2 linked regions of the Lonchura striata genome follow. The protein of the gene in region 2 interacts with the protein of the main gene of each other region in a biochemical or structural test. Links are inferred from orthologs where the notes say so. Each region holds a gene or a part of one and is shown on either strand. Other genes may lie near its edges.

Region 1 (10,406 bases), on a different chromosome or scaffold from region 2:
TGGAGCTGTTTGTTCAGCCTGGCCCAGGGCTCCTGGCTGGCTTTGTCACCCAGTGCCACCACACAGCCTGGCTGTGGCTGTGCCACCACCCTGGGGGCACAACAGGCACTGTCACCCTTCTTGGGTGACAATGAGCACTGCAGGGACCTGGTGTCCCAAGGACCCAACTGGGCATCCCAGGATGCTTGGCCAGCCACGGGAATTGTGTTTTTGTGCCTGCTGCAGGTTGTATCAGCCACATTTCCCAAAACAGGGGCTCCTACCCCAAACCTCCTCCCCCATCCAGCCCTGCCCCCTCTGCTCCTCAGGGTTCCTGTGGCTCCCTGTGCCACCAGCAGCACCCCTGGATGTGCCAGAGCTGCTCCAATTGCAGCCCAATTGCACAGCCCTGCCCAGCCCAGGCAGGAAATCTCCAGGGCAGGCACTGCAGCAGCCGTGTCCTTGATTTCCCTGGCTGCAGGAGCAGATGCCAGGGCAGAGCATCCTCTGGATGCCACATCTGGTGACAGGCAGCACGCAGAGCCCACGGGACAGGGACCCTGCACTGCCACGGGCAGGGATGGCTGTGGACACTCCATGGATGGACACAACCCCTCCACCTCAGCCTCACACCCTCCCTGTCCTATTTTTCCCCCCTCCAAATCCCTCTTGAGCTGATTTCTCACGGCACCCAAGCGCTGGGGGGAGGAGGGAGGCACAGACACATTCCACCTGGGGCACAGAGGAGGAGGCAGCACCCAAAAAACTCAGGTGCCTGCGAGCAGGAGGAAGGCAACAAACTTGTTCCCATTCCCACAGCAGCAACCCCATTCCCCAGCTGCACCCCCAGGGCTGCTCAGTGGCTGGATCCTGGTGTCAGGGAGCCCTGCCTGCACATTCCAGCGGCCCCAAAACTCACAGCAGAGATGACTCCAACCCACAGAGCTTCCCAAGCATTTCTGAACCTCTTCTCTTCAGGGTCAGCCACCTCCTGCCCCCCCCAGAGATGTCTCCAGCACCTGACCCTACTGCCACACTGCCAGAACCAGTTCCCCCAGTTAGGGCAGAGAGATAAATGCCACCTCCCAGTATATCCCCGAGCATCCCTGCTGCTGGAGCACTGGGATCACCCCTCTCAATGCCACAACAGCACAGAGCCCAGAAACTCACTGTGGGCAAACCCAGCACTGGGGACCCCACAAAACCAGCGAGAAAACCCCAATCCCCTAAAGGAGGAGAGCATCAGAGCTGCGGGGGCCACCCCTGCCCGACAGCCCAGGTGAGTTTTTGGCCAGGGCAGCCTGGCACATCCCCACAGCCGGAGAGCCCAGAGGGACACGGGCTGGGGAGGGATTCCCGATTCCCAGCTCCAGGAGGGAGCAGGGATGCCAGGGCTGGTGCCTACCTGCAGCCAGAGGCCCGGGGAGCCGCAGGCAGCCCGGCGATCCCGCAATCCTGCACAACCTCCATCTTAGGCAGGCGGCTCCGGCACGCAGCACAAGGTGACCCAAGATGCCTCCTCCTGCCTGAATTATTCAGCGGCGCTTCCACAGCGGGGGGAAAAATGCCACCCAAAGCCTCCTCTCCTACCTGAGGAGCTGGCCAGGCCAGCCTGGCATCAGCCAGCAGGCACGGGAATGAGGTCAGCAGCATCAGAGGCACCTCCGGCAGCCGTGACGGGGATGGGGACCCACCAGAGGCACACAAAGCCCGAATTAAAGGGCAGCCTTTCATCTCTGCTCCAGATGGGCCAGCAGCTGAGATGCAGGAGGGCAGCCAGGATAATAGGGGCAGGCAGGCAGCAGCTGAGCTGGGGCTCCCCATCCCCAGCCAGGAGGAGAGGGGATGGTCCCAGCACAGGGCATCACTTGGTTCAGATTTATTGCTGCCCTTCTGTGCTGTTTCAAGCCCCCCAAAATGACCAGCTAGCACTGAAAAGTGCAGGTTGAGGAGAGTCAGCACCACATTATTCCTTATTTCTGTTCTCCTTATTACCAGCCCGGGGAAGCAAAGCACTCCGGGATGATGAGGAGAGGAAGTTTTCACCGGCATTTCTTTCCTGCTTTTAAATCCACCCCCTCCTGAGAGCCAGATAACCTTCACTGCACACAATGTAGGGGCCCGATAGGACTAAATTCTCAGCTAAATTTAACTCAAACAATGCAGGCTTAAACAGTGATTACTGCTTTGCATATTTAAGCGCCTGGAATCGATATCAACTTTAACCTGGAGCTAATGAAAGCACAGATTGGTCAATCAATGGCATCAGCAAGGAAAACCACCACAATTAGCACAATTATTTTTTTGGGGAGAGCGTGGTGGTTTTTTTAAACAGTGTGAATTACAGAATCCCAGAGTTACTTCAGTTGGAAGGGACCTTAAAGGCCACTTCAAGCCAACCCCCAGGCACAGGCAGGGACACCTTCCTCTAGGACAAGACAAAAATCACATTTGCTGCTGCACAAGAGGGAGATTTTGGGGATGCTCTGCCCAAATGGGCCCCCATGGGCTGCATCACTAATCAGGGCTATGGGTACCTTGCCCTTATCCCAACACTGAAGTCATCACCTCCGAGGGACAACGAGGAAAATTTTTTCTTACTGCTCCTCTTGATTGCCTCGACTCAAATGAGGGCCTGGTAATTAGCAGTAATTACCCAGCGAGGCAGCATCCTGTGGCCAACTCCAAAACACAAGCACGCACTCCATGGGATGTCACTGAGTGTCCCCCGTGTCCTGGAGAGCACGGCCACACTTGGGCACTTTAAAGCAACTTTAAAGCAACTTTCCCTTCCCACTGCACCTGTGACAACCTGGGTGATGTGAACACAGCTGGCAAAATCCACCAGCACCCCAGGTTTTCATGCTGGGGTTGTACGAGATGCCCAGCAACCACCAAACCCAGACTTTTCTGGGAAAGCCAGAGCTGAGGTTGTCTCACACTCATTATCTCCTTCCCTAATGAACCATCTCATCCATCACAGCAGCTCTGCTGAATCACAGAATTCCCTGAGCTGGAAGGGACCCACAGGGATCAGCCAGGGCAGATCCTGGCCCTGCACAGACTCCCCAACAATCCCACCCTGAGCATCCCTAGGAGTGGTGTCCAAAAGCTCCTGGAGCTCTGGCAGCCTCGGGAATGTCACCATTCATTCCCTGGGGAACCCAGGCAGTGCCAGCACCTTCTGGGGGAGAAACCTTTCCCAAAATCCAACCTAAACCTGACACAGCTCCAGACATTCCCTGGGTCCTGTCACCGGTCACCAGAGAGGAGAGCTCCGTGCCCTGTCCCTGTGTCCACCCCAAAATCCCCACACCGTGCCAGGGCAATTTCCAGCTCAGCAACACCCCATCCCCTCTTGGAGCAGCAGCTCCACGAAGGGTCACACCGAGAAACCAAAGGGAAAAACAAAACCCAAAAGGACAATGAAGCACCTTAATGTCAGTACATCACTTGACAGCACGCCCAGCTTTTCCAGGGTCACCACCAGAGTCAGCCTTACAGCTGTGGGCCATTGGCCACACTCATTTTCCTTTTGCACCTCAATGCCATCTCTCCCCGTGCACCCCAAAACCACCCCCAGACCCTCCAAAGTTGGCAGAGAGCAGCGACTCTGTTAACCAGGCTCCACTCCCGATTAGCAAAGCAGCGATGGCGTAATAAAAGCGCCATAAATTTATGTAAAGAGCTTCCAAAGCAGCGCAGCGGTTTGAATATTCACGCCAGCGCGGTATTTGCATTGTAATGGGGCTTTTCACTCCCAGCCTTGCCTCCGTAAGGAAAAACAAAGCGCCCATCTGGTTCGATTTTGCGAATCGGGCTGGGGTCGCTCCGCAGTAAGTCGGGGTGCGATAAAGCCCAAGGTGGAGGCGCAAAGCTGATTATTTCAGAAGTAAACAAAGCGAGCCGGTGATGGATGCAGCGATGCCCCGCACGCCGGGTGATGCGGGATTCGGTGATCCCCGCGGAGCTGCCGGCTCCACCGGAGCCGGGCTCTGCTGAATCACGGCGGCAGCTCCGGTTGGGGAGCACCCAGATGAGCTGGATACACCCAAATTTACACCCAGGAAAATCCCAGCACTGGATGCTCCTAGTCTGTGGATTTTGTCTCTCCTCGGCTCCATCCCTACAGGGATGCTCCAAGGGAGATGGGCCCACGGTTGGTGACCAGACAGCAGATGCTGTCTGCCACCCTGGTGACAACGAGAGCTTTGCCGATGACAAAACAACTGCTGTTATTAATTCCTCCAGCCACAGCCGGCTGCTTCCAGGGCTCAGCCCGGCGAGAGCGCTCCAGAACCCGCTCCCAGCGCTCGGAGCATCCCTCCGGCAGCAGGGACGCACGCCGGGATGGGGGGCCCTGGGCAGGAGGAGCTGTCACCCCGCGGGACCACTGCCACCAGCGCCGAGGGGACCTTGGGGGGCTTTGGGGTGGCACCCACTCACAGACACCCCTGAAATCACCGCCGCGCCCCGTGGCCACGAGTCCCCATCCCCATCACCCCCTTCCCTCCATCACCCCCCGCTCCCAGCATCCCATCCCTCCAGCATTCCCCGTTCCCCTCCAGCATCTCGCCACCCTCCGGACCCCCTCCTTCCCCAGGCACCCACCTCGCCGCTGCGCCCCTTCCCCGCCGGCGCGTCCCGGCGCCCCGCACACGCGGCCGCCCCGCCGGGAAGGGCCGGGCAGGGGCGGGCCGGGCCCCGGCACCGCCCGCGGAGGAGGGACGGAGCGGGGCGGACAGCGCTGCCCCCGCACCGGGGCTCGGGGCTGCCCCTCCCCGCTCCCGCAGCCGCCCCCTGCCCGGCCCCGCTCACCGGCTGCCGGTGCCCGCGGGCGCGGCGGGGCTGGCGGAGCGCTCGGAGCGTTGCGGGGCCGGGGGAGGCGCCGCGTTCAAATGCGGCCGCGTTTATTGGGCCGAGGCTCGGGGGCGGCCCCGGGGCTGGCCCCGGGGCGGGGGGACCGGCGGCCTTTGTGCGGCACCGCCCGGGAACGCCCCCCGGCACCGGGGTCTGCTGGGGTGGCCCGCGCCGCCGGGGTACCGGCGTGTCCCCGGTGTTCTGCACCCCAGCTTGTCGCTGTCGCGTATCACCTCAGCTTCCCGTTGTCCTGCACCTCGGGATAGTATAACCCTCGGTCCCCGATGGCCTGATCCCCCCCGGTGGCGTCACCTCGGTTCCCATCGCCCTGCACCCCAGGGGACATCACCCCATCTCCCTGCTGTTCTGCACCCCAGGGTGGCATCGGCCCAGCTCTCCACTGTCCTGGCCCCTAGGGTGACACTACCATGGTCCCCAATGTCCCACACCTCAGAGTGGCTCTTCAGTGTCCCATCCCCCCAAATGGCATCATCGCAGTTCCCGTCATTGCGCTCCCCAAGGTGGCATCACCCCAGCTCCCAGATGTCCCCTCCCCCAGGGTGACATCGCCTGAGTTCCCATCATTCTGCACCCCACGGGGACATCACCCTGGCTCCCTGCTGCCCTGCACTCCAGAGCAGCATCACCCCGGCTCCATGGGTGGCATCACCCAGCTGCCCTCTGTCCTGCACCCCAGGGTGGCATCACCCCGGCTCCATGGGTGCCATCACCCAGCTGCCCTCTGTCCTGCACCCCAGGGTGGCATCACCCCGGCTCCATGGGTGCCATCACCCAGCTGCCCTCTGTCCTGCACCCCAGGGTGGCATCACCCCGGCTCCATGGGTGCCATCACCCAGCTGCCCTCTGTCCTGCACCCCAGGGTGGCATCACCCCGGCTCTATGGGTGGCATCACCCAGCTGCCCGCTGTCCTGCACCCCAGGGTGGCATCACCCCAGCTCCCCAGCGTCCTGTCCCCCGCGGTGACATCACCCTGGTTCTCATCCTCCCACAAGCCAAGTGGACACCACCGAGTCCTTGCTGTGCTGTCCCCAAGGGTGGCATCACCCCGGCTCCACACTGTCCTGTCCCCCAGGGGACACGGCCCTGCAGCTCCTCATTGTCCCAAAAAACCACCGGCACATCACCTGGGCTGTCCCACGCCTGAAGGTCACAGCAACACATCGCTGTCCCCTGCCCTGGGGACACGACACCCCATCTCCCTGCCATCCCCGGGCCTGGGGGACAGCCCCCCAACTCTCTGTGTGTCACCGTGACAGGACAGCTGCTGTGCTGTGGCATCCACCCCTTCCACCGCCCCAGCCCCGTGTTCCGGCGCTTCCCACTCGATTTTGGGGGGGAATCACAAAACCAAGGACCCCTTCTTTCCCCAGGAGCCACCCCGCAGGGCAGCCCTGGGGTGGTGACACACAAGCCACAGGCCCCAGCAGGACTCCAGCCCCCGTTTCAAGCCCGGCAGTCCAAGGCTTGTGGATTCTCTGATGGCTAAAAAAGGGTTCCACCCCCTCTGCAATCCACTCTCGAGCAATTGCATGAGATTATTTTGCTTTTTTTTTTTTTTTTCTGGTGAAAATGCCCGGGGCAATATGACTTCTTAGCCTTCTTCCCTTTTTTTTAAGGCAGCTCTGCTCTGCGAGTTCAAGAAATTTCGTGGGGAGGAGCGAGGGGAACACAAAAAAGCCTCGCACTGGGGGGGGGGTTGGATAAACCTCGCTCAGATCATAAACCAGGCTTAAAACCCCACAGCAGAGCCACGGGTGGGTTTGCCAGCACACAAGGACATCTGGGACATGTGAGGTGACAGCAGAAAGAGCTCCAAAAAGTATTGTAATAAAATATTGTATTAAAATATTGTAATAAAATATTGTAACAGAATAGTGTAACAAAATATTGTAATAAAATATTTAGGGATGGCTTTGCTGCATGTCACCTGGCACGTCAGTGCCACCTGGCCCGGGGACAGCTCCGTGGCTGTGGGACGTGGCACAGTGTCCCCAGCACAGCCCTGGCCGGGGATGTGGCCGTGTCCCCGCGGTGACAGCAGCAGGGCAGGGTGACTCCAAAGGGAAGGGGACCCTTGGCGAGAGGCTTTGCCGGACAGATGTCAGCAGCCGTGGCTTTGTGCCGGCCGAGGGCTTTTTGTTTGGGTTTTTAACATTTGCCATTTTTCTCCGCCGCTTTCTTCTGCTCTGACACTTGCTGAGGGTTTTTTTTTTTTTCCTTTCTTTCCTTTCTTCCTCTCTTCCCACATTTGCTTTTCCATCCCCGCTTCAAACACTTTTTCTCCGCGTATTATGCTGAAGTTGGAACCATCTGGTGCTTTGTTTTGTTGCGAGCCCGGCGAGTGCCAGGACCTTTATCCCCCTCACCCTCCTCCTCCTCCTCCTCCTCCTCTTTGCCGGTGCCTCGCTAATCCAAGCGACAGCCCCGAAAAATCCCCCCCGTCCCCCAAAAAGCCACGGGCCACACGCGTGCAGGGCGGGCGATGGGGACAAGGCTCGGTGTCCCCATGTCCCCATCCCACAGGGACGTGCAGCCCCCGCTTCAGGAGCGCTGCTGATCCTCCCAGTGCAAATTCCTGACTCGTTTTTAGGACCAGCTGGTAGCAGAGGCATCCTGGTTTGATTTTCCCCGTAGGAGAAAAGCGTGTTTCTAGGGAGCCGCGGAGCCGTGCCAGACACAAAACCCTCCGAGCCTATTTTTGGAGCTCCTTTCCCAGCGAGCAGCTGCGCTCCGGGATGGGCATTTCCCGGGAAATGCCACCCCGGAGCTGGGAGGAAGGAAACCTCGGCTCAAGCGACCCACGGTGTCACAAAATTCGGGATACGTGGGAAACGCCGCGATTGCGGGCCATCAGCCGCCGAGGGTGGCACGGAGCCACCCAAAATCAGGGGCAGGCGGTGGGTGACCCCTGTGCCAGGCCGTGGGTGCTCGGCTCCTGCAGAAACACCCTCCCGGCTTGGCTCGGGCTGCTCCGTCACGCTTTCCTTCCCATTTTCCCTGAACAATGGGGTGCTTTGTTCTAGGGCGAGGAAAAGTCCGGCTGCTGCGCTGGGGGAGATGCTTCTGCATTCCTGGGCTCTTTCCAGCTGCGCCCTGCTGGGCACAGGAACCCCTCGGCCCGCCCAGGACAAGGGGAAGAGGGTCATCAAATAGCCAAAGAATTAAAAAAAAAAAAAAATAAAGAAAAAGGAAAAAAAAAAAAGCCATGAAACCATCAGCAAAACGTAAAGGGGAAAAGGAAAAGACGCTGTATGGAAAAAAAAAAAACCAGCTGGAGGGAACCTCCCCATCTCCCAGCTGGTGCCGGGAGAAGTTTGGAATGACATAAGCCCAAACTTTGCTATTTTTTACACAAAACAAAGGCTAAGCCGCAGCGGTACCTCCGCGGCTCGCTGCTGCCATCCCACGTCCGGCTCCAATCGCCTTCCCAGCGCCTCCTCCCGAGCCTGATCCTGCCTCATTCCAGCCGAGGATTTTCCCTTCAGCCCAGGAAAAACTCCTGTTAGCCGCCTTTGCTGTGCTGGCTCTTTCATGGCAAGAAATATTTGGGTGGTTGCTCCGTCCTGGTGAGGTTCCCGAGCTCCGTGCCAGCCTCTTCCAGCCCGCAGGAGCTCCAGAGCCCCCGGGCACCGTGCCCATCCCTGTGGGCATCACTGGAATTGTTGGGCATCGCCTTCCCCCCTTGAGAAGTCACTGCTGAGCTGCAGCCAGAGCACTCGCTGGGAATGGGGAAAAATTTGGGATGGAAGGAGAAGCTGTGGTCTGTGAAACCAGATGGGAATGGGGAAAAATTGGGGGTGGAAGGAAAAGCTCTGGCCCACAAAACCAGCTGGGAATGGGGAAAAATTTGGGGTGGAAGGAAAAGCTCTGGCCTGTGAAACCAACTGGGAATGGGGGAGAAATGGGGATGGAAGGAAAAGCTCTGGCTCATGAAATCAGCTGGGAATGAGGAAAAATAGGAGATGGAAGGAAAAGTTCTGGCCTGTGAAACCAGCTGGGAATGGGGGAAAATTGGGAGTGGAAGGAAAAGCTCTGCCCTGTGAAACCAGCTGGGAATAGGGAAAATTGGGGGTGGATGGAAAAGCTCTGGCTCATGAAATCAGCTGGAAATGGGGAAAAAATGGGGGTGGAAGGAAAAGTTCTGGCCTGTGAAACCAGCTGGGAATGTGGAAGAATTAAGGGTGGAAGGAAAAGGTCTGGTTCACAAAACCAGCTGGGAATGTGGAAGAATTTGGGATGGAAGGAAAAGCTCTGTCCTGTGAAACCAGCTGGGAATGGGGAAAAATTGGGGATGGAAGGAAACCTCTTGCTGATGAAAGCAGCCGGGTCTGTTGGTCATTTCCCCCGTTCTTGTGCCCCTGGAGCATGGAGGAGCAGCTGGAGCTGCCTTGTGGCACCTCCTTGCAGCAGCTGCTGCTGGGGAACGCCTGCCCACAGCCCCAGCTTCACTGGACCTGTTTGTCTTTGCATTTGCATTTTGCTGCTGAGGCAGGGTTAGATTAGATATTGGGAAAGAATTGTTCCCTGTGAGGGTGGGGAGGTCCACACAGGGTGCCCTGGGTCCCTGGAAGTGTCCCAGGCCAGGTTGGACAGGGCTTGGAGCAACCTGGGACAGTGGAAGGTGTCCCTGTCATGGCAGGGGTGGGATGGGATGGTCTTCAAGGCCCCTTGAACCCAAACCATTCTGGGATTCCATGATTCCAACGCAGCACAGGTTTTAATTTGGAGGGCAGATGAATAAAAGCAGCTCCAAATGCCAGCCTGGGTGGCTGGTCCTCTGGGAAAGGTTCATCCCAGCCCTCCCCCAGCTGATTGATGGGGTCCCTGCTGTGGGCCCCACTGGCAGCTGAGGTGATGAAGGGCTGGCCCAGCTGTGGGTGTCTTCCAGCAGCACATCCTCCTGCAGCTGGCAGGATTTCCCAGGGAATTCTGCTGAAGCAGGGATATTTCTCTCCCGGTGGGAAGTTTCATCCTGAAAAAGTCTAGCTGACTCACCCTGACACGGCTGCAGGTGGGAGGCTCAGCAGCAGCAGGTTTCCACCCTTCCTGCTCGATCCTAGGCACACCAGCTTTAGTGTTAAACCATTTAAAATGATTTTTACTTTTTGACCTGGAAGCATTCCCTCTGTGCTCCTTGCCTGTGGAAAGGCTGTTTTCCCTGGTGTGGCACCTCACTGCTGGCACCATGCTCCCCCTGGTCTCTTTTGGGGGACAGAGGACTGCATATTTTCTAGGGTCCCCTCTAAACCCACTCAGCCCTGGGTCATAGGGGGCTGGGTGGGTTTTTCTAGATTTTCTGGATTTTAAACCTGCACGTCCTTGGGGGACAGAGAACTACAGAGATCTCCTGGGGTTCCTGGGGGACAGGGCACTGCCACCCTGGTGGCATCCCTCTAGACCCAACCAGCGTGGGGGACAAGGGGATGACACCCTGCCAGAGACTCCTGTACCCAGCCAGCGTGGGGGACAAGGGGATGCCACTGTGACAGAGACCCCTGTGACCCAGCCAGCGTGAGGGACAAGGGGATGTCACCATGCCAGAGAC
Region 2 (10,326 bases):
AGGCTCCAACAGCTTCATACTTGCACCAGCAAACTTGGCCCACATGGAACTGATTTCAAGTACATTAAATATTCCACAAACTGCAGCTAGAAGTCAAATAATTTTATGCTGCAATTCAAGTTTAAGACACCAGCCAACCCAAGGATTTGCATCCCAATTGCCACTAGATTCCAAGACCTGCTTTTCCTTTTGTAAGCATTACAGTAGTCACAGTACAAGGCTCCTCTTGTCCATCCCACAAGTCACCCTCCTAAAACTATGTTTTGGATGGGGCAGCAGCATCACTCTTCCTGCTGGTGGGAATCTTGGTAGAGTTTGCTGTGATCCAGGGATGGAGAAGCACATCTTTCAGGGGCAGGCGATGGAAGGGGTTGTGCTTCAGGAGCCTGGAAATTAAATCCCTTGCACCTTCTGTTACAAATGGAGGAAACTTGAATTCCACCTAAGGAAAAAAAGACATTTAAAATTACGCAAAAGTTCTTTAGCAATAACCAAGTGATAGAAGCACTCAACCTCCAAGTTACCTTCTGAAAGCTGTGCCAGCCTTGCAGGCTCTGCACCTTCTGCCTATGGAGGTAAAATAATTTAATTGTAACCCTGAACAGGCTTCTCGTTGCTTGTGAAAGTATTTGTATATTCTTGTTTTTGTTTTCATTACGTTTCAAACTTAAGTTTGCTGAAACCTTTCTAGAACTAAAAGCACGACCCAGCTAATCCAGATAAGCACTGGCACTTACCCTGGAAATAGCTCTGTAGGTTTCTTGATAGGTTTCTGTTTCAAAAGGTGGTTTTCCTACAAGGAACTCATAGCACAGAACTCCCAGACTCCAAATATCCACCTTTTCATCATGTGTTCTTCCCTCAATCATTTCAGGAGGCAGGTAGTCAAGTGTCCCACAGAGAGTTGTTCTCCTGAAGAAAAGTCCAAGTTAATCATTGATTAAGATAATTAGAGGATCTATTTCAAGAGTCAGATAAGAACTAATGCTGGCAATCATCTGTACCTCAGTGCAGTCCACCTGAATGGACTCGGCACCATCAGAACAGCTGGGAAAGAAAAGCCAGCAGGACATTTTCTACTTCTACTGAAAGTATTTCATTCCCTGCAATCAGTCAGTCTTAGCTCCTTTCTTCACCCCACATGCTAGAACAAACCTGTTCCTCCCTTCTCAGGTGCCATTTCCCACTCTCTCAGAAATAACCAAATTGCCAGTGTAATGTCCGAGTCCAAGTGCAGGTTTGTCATCTCAGGGAGCACAGTAACCCTACACCAGCCTTCCTCTGAGGGCCAGCAAGGTTTGAACTAAAAACCAGGCTAACAACCCTCCTCTGTCACACCAGTTGCCTGTTAGGCCCTTTGTTATAGCAGCATTTTTCCCCAGTATTTCAGGAAGTTCCCACGTACCTCCCTTCCACAACTGTGTGATAAAAACTGACACTACAGAAGGATTCCAGTGCACAAGAGATTGAATTCTCACCTAGAAGATGGAGCATGCACAGACCACCCAAAGTCAGCAATTTTTAACTCTCCATTGGATCCTAGCAGCAAATTCTCTGGCTTGATGTCTCTGTGGATCACACGCTTGGAGTGACAGTACGAGAGGGCATCTGCAAGTTCTGTGATGTACTGGGTGCAGAAAGAATAATCTTTAAGATATTGTCACCTGAGTTTATCTGGCTGCAGCACAGCCTTTTGGAGCCATAATTATAATTTTAAATTAAAGCAATTATTCCTTTACACTCGAAGCCTGGCAATACAGGCTGTGACTTGCAATATTAAGCAATTCTGAACATAAATTCCTGCACAGCCCTAACCCTTCCCAATTATTCCCTGCCCAGATGCCAACTAGCAGCTAAGGAATCTCAGTGTCCCCCAGCAGAATACAGAACTTGATCTGAAGGGTTGGCTCTGTCCTGCAGATATCCCAGATACAGGAATGGAGAGGAAGCTGGAACAACCTACAGTAGCAGTTCTTTGCTCATCGAACTTGCTGAGCCTCTGAAGCTCCCTGTAGACCTCCCCACGAGGTGCGTGCTCCAGGATCAGGTAGACTCTTGTCACATCATGGAAGTAGCCATATAATCTGAGAATGTTGGGGTGCCTGCAAAGAGATTTCAATGTTCTTCTGAATCAGGTGTTTGCCAAAACCTTCAATTTCCCACCTTTTCCTGTTCCCTTCCGCTTTCAAGGGAAGCACAGGAATTTCAGCTCATCCGTGTTCCTTCAGCTCACAACACACAAACCCCTTATCATAAAGAAGCCTCATCATAACCAAGGTCACCTTGTTTATTTGGGTGCAAACAAAGCAGAGTAAATAGTCACTGAACTTTACCTAAGATGAGACTGTATTTCCACTTCTCTTCGTAGTTGATGTTCTACACCAGCTTCCTCAAGCTGTGTTTTAAAGAGCACTTTCAGTGCGAGAATAAATTTGCTCTGTTTTTCACGTGCCAGGTACACATTCCCAAATTTTCCTTTCCCCAGAGGACGACCAATTTCAAAATCGTCGAGGGACCATTGCCTTCTGCAAGAGGAAAGTTAAAAGCTGGATAGTTGTGTTGGATTTGACTCAAATTTACAGTTTATAACATTGCTGTTCAAGAGATGCTTAGTGCTCTAAACTAGATTTTAGTCTTTAAGAAAATACCTAGAGAATAAAAGCATTGAGATTTTTCAAAAGGAAGTTGTGAAAACTATTTTCTTTCCTCCTGAAGCTTCTGCAGACACTACACCAACCACACTACTACAAAATGAAGTCTGTTTACCAAGCTGGGCTCCTTCAGATACTCCTAACCCAGACACATCACCAGGGCATGGCAAAACAATTTAAAGTTGCCATAAACAAATCCAGTTTCATATCAAAATAGACTCCAGCCTCCTGCCCAGATGAAGGAGGCTTTGTTTTCAGGAGTACATCTAGTGACTGAGGCAGCAGCTATCAGTGCTCTCCCATGGGAAGAGCCACTCTGCATTTAGCCCGAAGTTTTCTTTAGATTCCAACAAGTCCTTGTTCCTGACAATTATCAGGTCAAAGGCTGCTTTTCCTTGTGAGGTGTCTGCAAAGCAAGGGGGTCACCAGGCTCCACAGCCAAAGGAGCTCCAGCAGGGCTCAGTTATCCAGAATTCAGGCATAAACTTACTTTTTAGTCTCTTCACTTTTCTTCTTGGTCTCTTCAGTTTTCTGTTTAGAGGTGCTTTCTGCTTCAGGGTTTTGTGCTGTGTACAGAGAAGGAAATCAGTTAATGAACCAGACTCATGGGCACACACACACATGAACAAATCTAACCCCTGTGCATCATCTGAAGCAGTTTTTAGAACCCATTCAGTGACATTTTAATTAAACTAGCATGGCTGACTGCTAGGGAAGAAACAGTGCTGGCAAAATGCAATTTTAAAAGCTTATGGAGCATAAAACTCCATGAATTCTTTCCCCCTCCCCAGACAAAAGTATCCCTGGACACTTGGAAAACCTGTGAAGTCTGAATGCAAATGACATTAACTCCGAGCTGTCTGCTGAGCACCTACAAGTTTTTAACACCATAATGTCCCTAATTTATCTAATTTATCTCTGTTAATTTAGAGGTAAATTCATAAGGATGGTGCAGTAACACCCGAGGTGAACCACGTACTGCTCTTCTGTTTGGGGGCACAACCAAGAACTTCCCTGCAGGACTGTCCCTGGATCAGCAGCAGCTTTAGGAGCATCCCGAGTGTCACAGCTGCAATCACACAAAATCATCCTCAGAATTACCAGGTGCTGCAGCCTGGGGAGGTTTCTCACTGCCCTTGCTTGCAGCCTGAGGTCTCACAGCAGCCTGCTGGGGCACTTTGGGTTGGAGCTGCTGAGCTGGTTGGTTGCTGGGTTGTTTTTGGGTGGACAGAACAGGTTTTTGGGGTTGCGCGGGGACTCGCTGGGCAAAGTTTGCGGGACACAGAACTCGGGCTGGAGCTCCAGTGGTCAGTGAGCGGCTCGGGGCTGAGTGCTGCGACACGGGGACACGTCTGGGGGCATCCCCGATGGGATTGGAGACCTTCAAAGAGAAAGGAGAAGGCGTTAATTGTGCAACAGCACAGCACAGCCCTCACGGCCCCATTCAGGATGGCACGGCCACACAAAAGCACTTTAACAGAATCACGTATTTAGTTGATTAAAAGAAAATTTTGCTTATGCTGTTCCAAAAACTTATCAGGTCTATTTGGCTTTATATAAAATACTGACAAAGTGCCTGTATTTCTAAATAGAAGAAACACAATAATAAGGGTGATCTTGAGCACTGCTGCACATGTACACAGCACTTGCTTTTAAAAACTGTATCTAAAATAATTTGATAATACACACTCACTTTCTCTTTAAGAGCTCTTAAATACTTGCAATAGAAGGAAGATTTCCCCATTTAATAAGATAGGCTAATATTAACAATAATTTTTAAAAACTGCTCGGGGCTCTGTTTTCTCTAGGAGAAAGGCACTGAAAGACAAATTTCTAGTTAATATGCGATGGGGAGAAACAAACCCACCAAGCAAAAACTAAAAACCACCACTCCAGAACCTAGCAGAACTTTAATGGCAAACTCCCAGGCATCGAGTCCAAGGATGCAGCAGAAGAAATTGCTCAGGAAGAGGAACATAAGGGTGTGAAATACGCGGTCTACCTTGGCGGCGCGGCCGGGGCAGGCAGCGTGGTTCTCCTTCATGTTCCTGTCCATAGCGCCAGAGCGGGAGCGGCCCGAGCGGCTCTGGCTGAGGGCGAGAGGGAGCCAGCGGGGCTCAGCGAGCGGAGCACAGGAAATGGCGGGTCCCTTATCGATCCCCACTGTTTATCGGCAGAGATCCATCACCAATCCCCCCCGCCCGCCCTCAGGCCCGGCGCTCAGCGCGGAGCCGCCGCCTCAGGGCCGCCGGAGCTGTTTGAATTCAAACCGCCGCGCCTTAAATACCCCTTTAAACCCCCGCCGCCCGCCATTGGCCGCCCTCCCGCGGCCCGCGCACGCTGATTGGCTCCTCCCGCGGGCGGCCCGCTCGCCTATTGGTTACCAGGCGCGCTCCGCCGGGCCGCGAGGGGCGCACGCGCCTCGCCGCGCCGCGCCCCTCCACCGGCGTTGTCGCCGTGCGGCGCGTTACGCACTTTGCGTAGCGCCGCGCCGCCCCCCCCACCCCGGCGCGCGCCGCCCGCGCACTTCCCGCCGGGCCGAGCCGCCGCTTCCGCTACGCAAATCGCGTAACGCGCCGCGCTCCCACCTGTGGCCGCCGCCGCCTCCGCTCCGCTCCGCGCCCCGGGAGCGCCGCCAGGTCAGTCCCGCTCCCGCCGGACTCCCCCCCAACACACCCCCGCCCACCCCCGGGCGAGGCCGGGCAGCGGCGCCGCTGCCAGCGCGCGTGGGGCCGAGCGCCAGCGGGGCCATTGTGTGCGTGCCCCCCCCGGACGGGCCGAGCAGGGCCGGAGCCTCCCCGGTGCGGCCCCGGGCAGCGCCACGTGCCGGCAGCGCTTCAGGGCGAGCGCCGAGCGCCAAGGCCCCGCCCGGCCCGGCCCGAGCGACCGCGCACCCCTCGCAGGCGCCGGGACAGCGGCAGCGCGGCCGCTCAGCGAGCGCGGCCCGCGAGCAGCGCAGCGAGCGCGGCGTCAGGCGCTGCTGCCCCGCGGGTCCCCGCCAGGGAAACTCCGCTCGGCGCTCGGAGCTGGTGAAGAACTGCGAGGCAAGGCACTGAAAAGTTCACTGTCTCCGCGGTGCTGAAAACAAGAGCGAAGGAGAGCCTGGTTGTGTGTGTCGGTGTTTACAAGTGGTTCAGGATAGGTAAAAAGAAGATGTCGGGTCGCCGTGTCGCTGCAGCGTGTGACAGACGACAGCTGCCCCGGGGCATGGGGGGCATGGCAGCCCCGCTGCTCGACCCGCGCCCGCTCCGCCTGCCCTTCCTCGAGGCTGACGTGAGTAGCGCTCGGGGCGGGGACGGTTTGCGCCGGGGCCGGGGCCGGGCCCGCCCGCAGCGCTGCTGGGCAGCCGCGCCAGCCGCTTCATTCCCAGCCCGTTCACGTCGCCGTGTTTGGGATCCGGGCGCTGGCGGAAGCGGCGCTCCGGAGCTTTGCGGCTGCGACACAAAAGAAGCCCCGGGCTCCCCCCCGCGCCCGCCGGGGGCCGGGCCCGCGCCGCTCCCCCGCCCCGAGAGCGGCTCCGCGGCCTTCCCAGCGCCCCGCTGGCCCCGAAGGGGAACGGGGGGATGGACCCTCGGCGTCCCCGGGAGGGAGGGATGGGGAGGGGGAATGGGCAGCGGGACCCCCGGGATCCCTGAAAGGGAGAATGGGCAGCGGGACCCCCGGAAGGGGCGGGGTGGAGAGAAGGGACCCCTGGAAGGGGAGAAATGGGGAGGGGGGTCGCCCAGGACCCCCGGGAGGGGGAACGGGGAGAAGGACCCCGGGATTCCCCGGGGGGGAGTGGGGATTTGGGATCGGGACCCCCGGAGCGCGATCCGGGATGGGGACCCCCGAAGCGGGATCGGGGCTCCGGGGACCCCCGAAGCGGGATCGGGGCTCCCAAGCAGGAGCGGGATCGGGACCCCCGAAGCGGGATCGGAGCTCCCAAGCAGGATCGGGGACCGGGACCCTCGGAGCGGGATCGAGGATGGGAACCCCAAAGCGGGATCGGGACCCCCGTAGCAGGATCGGGACTCCCGGAGCGGGATCGGGGGTGGGAAGCCCAAAGCGGGACCGGGACCCCCAGAACGGTACCGGGGGTCTGTCCCCCCTACCCGGGGGTCCCTCCCCGTGACGCGGGGGGCGTGGCGCTGCCGTGACGCCGCCCCGTTGTGTCGTGTCCCCCCCCCAAGAGCCGCCTCCCATCGATGTGCGGGCGCTCGATGCAGCAGCCTTCGCGGAGGAGCGTCCTGCGGGCCCGGCCGCCCCCGCCGCTGCCGCCGCCGCCGCTCGATGCGCTCCGCGCGCCCGCCGCCATCTTAGGGGCAGAGCGCGGGCGGCAGAAGGAAGGCTCGGTACGTACCGGCACCGCCCGCACCGCGGCTCGGCCCGCCCCGCGCGGGCCCGGGCCGCCGGCGGGGCGGGGAGGGCGCGGGGCTCCCCGCGGGGCGGGCGGCGGGGCTGTCGTGCGCGCCCCGCGCACCCATCCACCCACCCATCCATCCATCCATCCCCGGGCCCGCCGGCAGCACCGGCCGGCGCGCTCGGCTCCTGCCGCCGGCTCCGCTGCCGCGTAGCGAGTGCGGGCCGCTCTGCGGCCGAGGTTTGCAGTCACACAGAAAGGCAGCGCAACAGGTTTTTCCTCCCCTTTTCCTTCCCTTTCCCCCTTTTTCCTCCCTGTTACCTCCCCCTTTTCCTCCCGTTTGCCTCCCCTTTCTCCCCTGTCTTCCTTCCTTTCCTCAAGTCTTTTCCTTCCCTTTCCCTCCCCTTCTCTCGTCTTTTCCTTCCCTTTTCCCTCCCCTTCTCTCGTCTTTTCCATCCCTTTTCCCCATCTTTCCATCCCTTTTTCCCAAGTCTTTTCCTCCCCTTTCCCGAGTCTTTTCCTTCCCTTTTCTTTCCTTTTCTCCCGTCATTTCCTTCCTTTCCATCCCTTCTTTTCTGTTCTTTTCTCCTGTCTTTTCCATCCCTTTCTCCCATCTTTTCCTTCCCTTTCTACCACCTTTTCTTCCCCCTTTCCTCTTCTTTCTCTCCCTTTTTACTCCTCTTCCTCCCCCACCTTCCTCTCCCCATCTCTGCTTTTCACCAAAACCAAAGCAATATTTGGTGCCTGCCCTGAGATTTGTTCCAAGGTTCTGGTGGTTTCGTGCAACTGTCTCGTATGTGATTTCTGTTCTTCATTCCAGGCCCCCCCAAGGCAGTCCCTGCTCACAATGTATAGGACAAAAGTCAGTTTGAAAGATCGTCAGCAACTTTACAAACTGATAATTAGCCAGCTGCTCTATGATGGATACATCAACATTGCCAATGGCTTGATAAATGAGATCAAACCACAGTCTGTGTGTGCACCCTCTGAACAACTGCTGCACTTAATTAAGTTAGGTAAGCTGGAATCTGGAATCAAAAGCTGACATAAAAGTCTAGTTTCTAATTCCCCACTGAAGTAAGAGGTTGGTGTCACTGGAAAGACACCTCTGATGCAAAGGTGGTGTCTGGTAATAGCACAGCACTTGTACATCTGGGTACAGCCTTTGCCTCTGTGGGGTTATGAAGGGCATCCCTGTGTGATTAACAGCAAACCAGATCCCTGAGTGTGGCCCAAATCTGTTTGAACTCCTCTAAAGACACTCAGGGTTCTGGGTGGGTGGCAGCCTTCTCAAAACACCCCAGTGAATGGGGTCACTGAACCCCCAGATCTGAGGGAAAATCTCAGCCTTATAGTTCTGCTGACTTGAGAAAGAAATAATTCCTGTCTGGCTGTTCCTGGCAGTGTTGGAGAGGGAGCAGGTCCTTCCCTTGGCAATCTTTGCTGGCTTTTATAGATCAGTCCCCAGGAAACAGCTGCACACTCTGGGGTCTCAGCAGGGCTGTCACCTGTTCCCTCCCTGTACTTCCCTCTGGAAGTGCCACATTGTGGGGAAAACGGGGAAAACCCCTGACCTGCTCTTGGAACAAGCTGACCAAGTCCTGGAGGAGCTCTGGCCATGACACCATGTGTAACCCAACTGGTTCTGCTGCCTGAACTAGCTGAGTTCTGAGGGTATAAGTCTGTGAAGCTTTGTGTCTGTTTGAAATGCAAATTCTAGACTTGAAATGAGCAGATGAAAGCAGCAAAAAGATCACCACTGGGCTGAAAACTCTTGTGTCTGCTCTGTTGCCACCTCCAGGCTGAACCCTAGTCTGTAACTGGATCTTGAAAATAAAGATAAAAGTCTGGGAAGTGGGCTTGAAGACCAGCGAGTTTTTTCTCTTGCAGTGCTGGGACAGTTTGGCGTCAGAGCAAACAAATAGGAAAAGAATCAGTAAATACTTTGGGTTTTTACTTTAAAACTCACGTAATAGTGTTGGAGCTTATTGCTCTTCTGTGAAAAGCTGACCGGAGGCCTGTGCATGGTCAGTGACTGATTTCCCAATCTTCACTGGGGGTATTCCCAGAGCTCCTGAGGAGCTGAGCCTGCTCCAGTGCAGCCCATCTCTCCCTCACTCCTCCCCAGTGCTGTGTGACCCAACCTGCTCTGCCAGCTCAGCTCTCCCCCAGGACTGCCTTTCCCAAACCTTCCCTGGAGCCGTGGCAGGCTGAGGGGAAGGCTGCCAGCCCTGAGTGCCACCCTGCTGTCCCCAGGCATGGAGAACGACGACAGCGCTGTCCAGTACGCCATCGGCCGCTCGGACACGGTGGCGCCGGGCACCGGCATCGACCTGGAGTTCGACGCCGACGTGCAGACCATGTCCCCCGAGGCCTCCGAGTACGAGACCTGCTACGTCACCTCCCACAAGGGGCCCTGCCGCGTGGCCACCTACAGCAGGGACGGGCAGCTGATCGCCACGGGCTCGGCCGATGCCTCCATCAAAATCCTGGACACCGAGAGGATGCTGGCCAAGAGCGCCATGCCCATCGAGGTAAGGGATTGTGAGCACTGGGAATCCTGTCCATGCCATGCCCGTTGGGATAATGAATTGTAAATACTCTGGGAATTGTGTTCATGCCATGCCTATATCACTCTGGGAATCCTGTCCATGCCATTCCCATTGGGATAATGAATTGTAAATACTCTGGGAATTGTGTTCATGCCCATCAAGGTAAGGGATTGTAACCATGCTGGGAATCCTGTCCTTGCCATGCCCATTGGGATAATGGATTGTAATCACTCTGGGAATATCCTGTCCATTCCATGCCCATTAGGATAATGAATTGTAATCACTCTGGGAGTATCCTGTCCATGCCATTCCCATTGGGATAGTGGATTATAACCACTCTGGGCGTTCTCTCCATGTCATATCTGTACCTTGTGGCTGCCTCAGTGGGTTGGACTAAGTACCTGTCTCAACATATTGCCTACTCCAGCAGCTGCTCATAACGTCCCTTAGAAGGAAGAAGAGCCAGGGCAAGGACACTGTGTCACCCTTGGCAGCAGGGAGAGAGCTGAGCCAGAAGTGGCTTCTTCTGGGTGCTGATCGTGGCTGTAATGTCTGAGCACAGTACATGTTAAACCCATGGGGCCTCTGCAGCCCCCATGGCCACCAGTGTTTTCACTGGTTATTTCAAAACTGTTTTACACATTGATGTGCTTTGTCTTTCTCCAAGGCAGTTATCAGGTGGCAATGAAAAGTGGGATATTTTTGCACAGAGCGCACACCAAGTTCTCAGCAGAGAGCTGCAGTTTTGGTGCAGCTTCTCATGATTATTCCAGCAGTCAGTGTT

What was found. The genes of interacting proteins can lie anywhere in the genome.
Region 1: of the proteins of AURKA (region 2) and NIN, one has a biochemical effect on the other in vitro, tested with the Homo sapiens proteins (2 studies listed by BioGRID). The link is inferred for Lonchura striata from reciprocal best matches to the Homo sapiens genes AURKA and NIN.

The regions. Positions count from the first base shown.
Region 1 is NC_134608.1:2,261,881-2,272,286, forward strand, and holds the start of NIN (ninein), read right to left. Parts: upstream 4,642-10,406; 5' UTR 4,591-4,641; intron 1-4,590. UniProt on the Homo sapiens protein: Centrosomal protein required in the positioning and anchorage of the microtubule minus-end in epithelial cells. May also act as a centrosome maturation factor.
Region 2 is NC_134619.1:2,536,221-2,546,546, forward strand, and holds AURKA (aurora kinase A), read right to left. Parts: upstream 4,708-10,326; coding exon 4,654-4,707; intron 4,033-4,653; coding exon 3,753-4,032; intron 3,218-3,752; coding exon 3,142-3,217; intron 2,526-3,141; coding exon 2,334-2,525; intron 2,103-2,333; coding exon 1,964-2,102; intron 1,628-1,963; coding exon 1,479-1,627; intron 913-1,478; coding exon 738-912; intron 443-737; coding exon 257-442; 3' UTR 235-256; downstream 1-234. Other genes in the region: CSTF1 (cleavage stimulation factor subunit 1), read left to right, coding at 5,805-5,924, 6,821-6,982, 7,811-8,006, 9,247-9,524. UniProt on the Homo sapiens protein: Mitotic serine/threonine kinase that contributes to the regulation of cell cycle progression.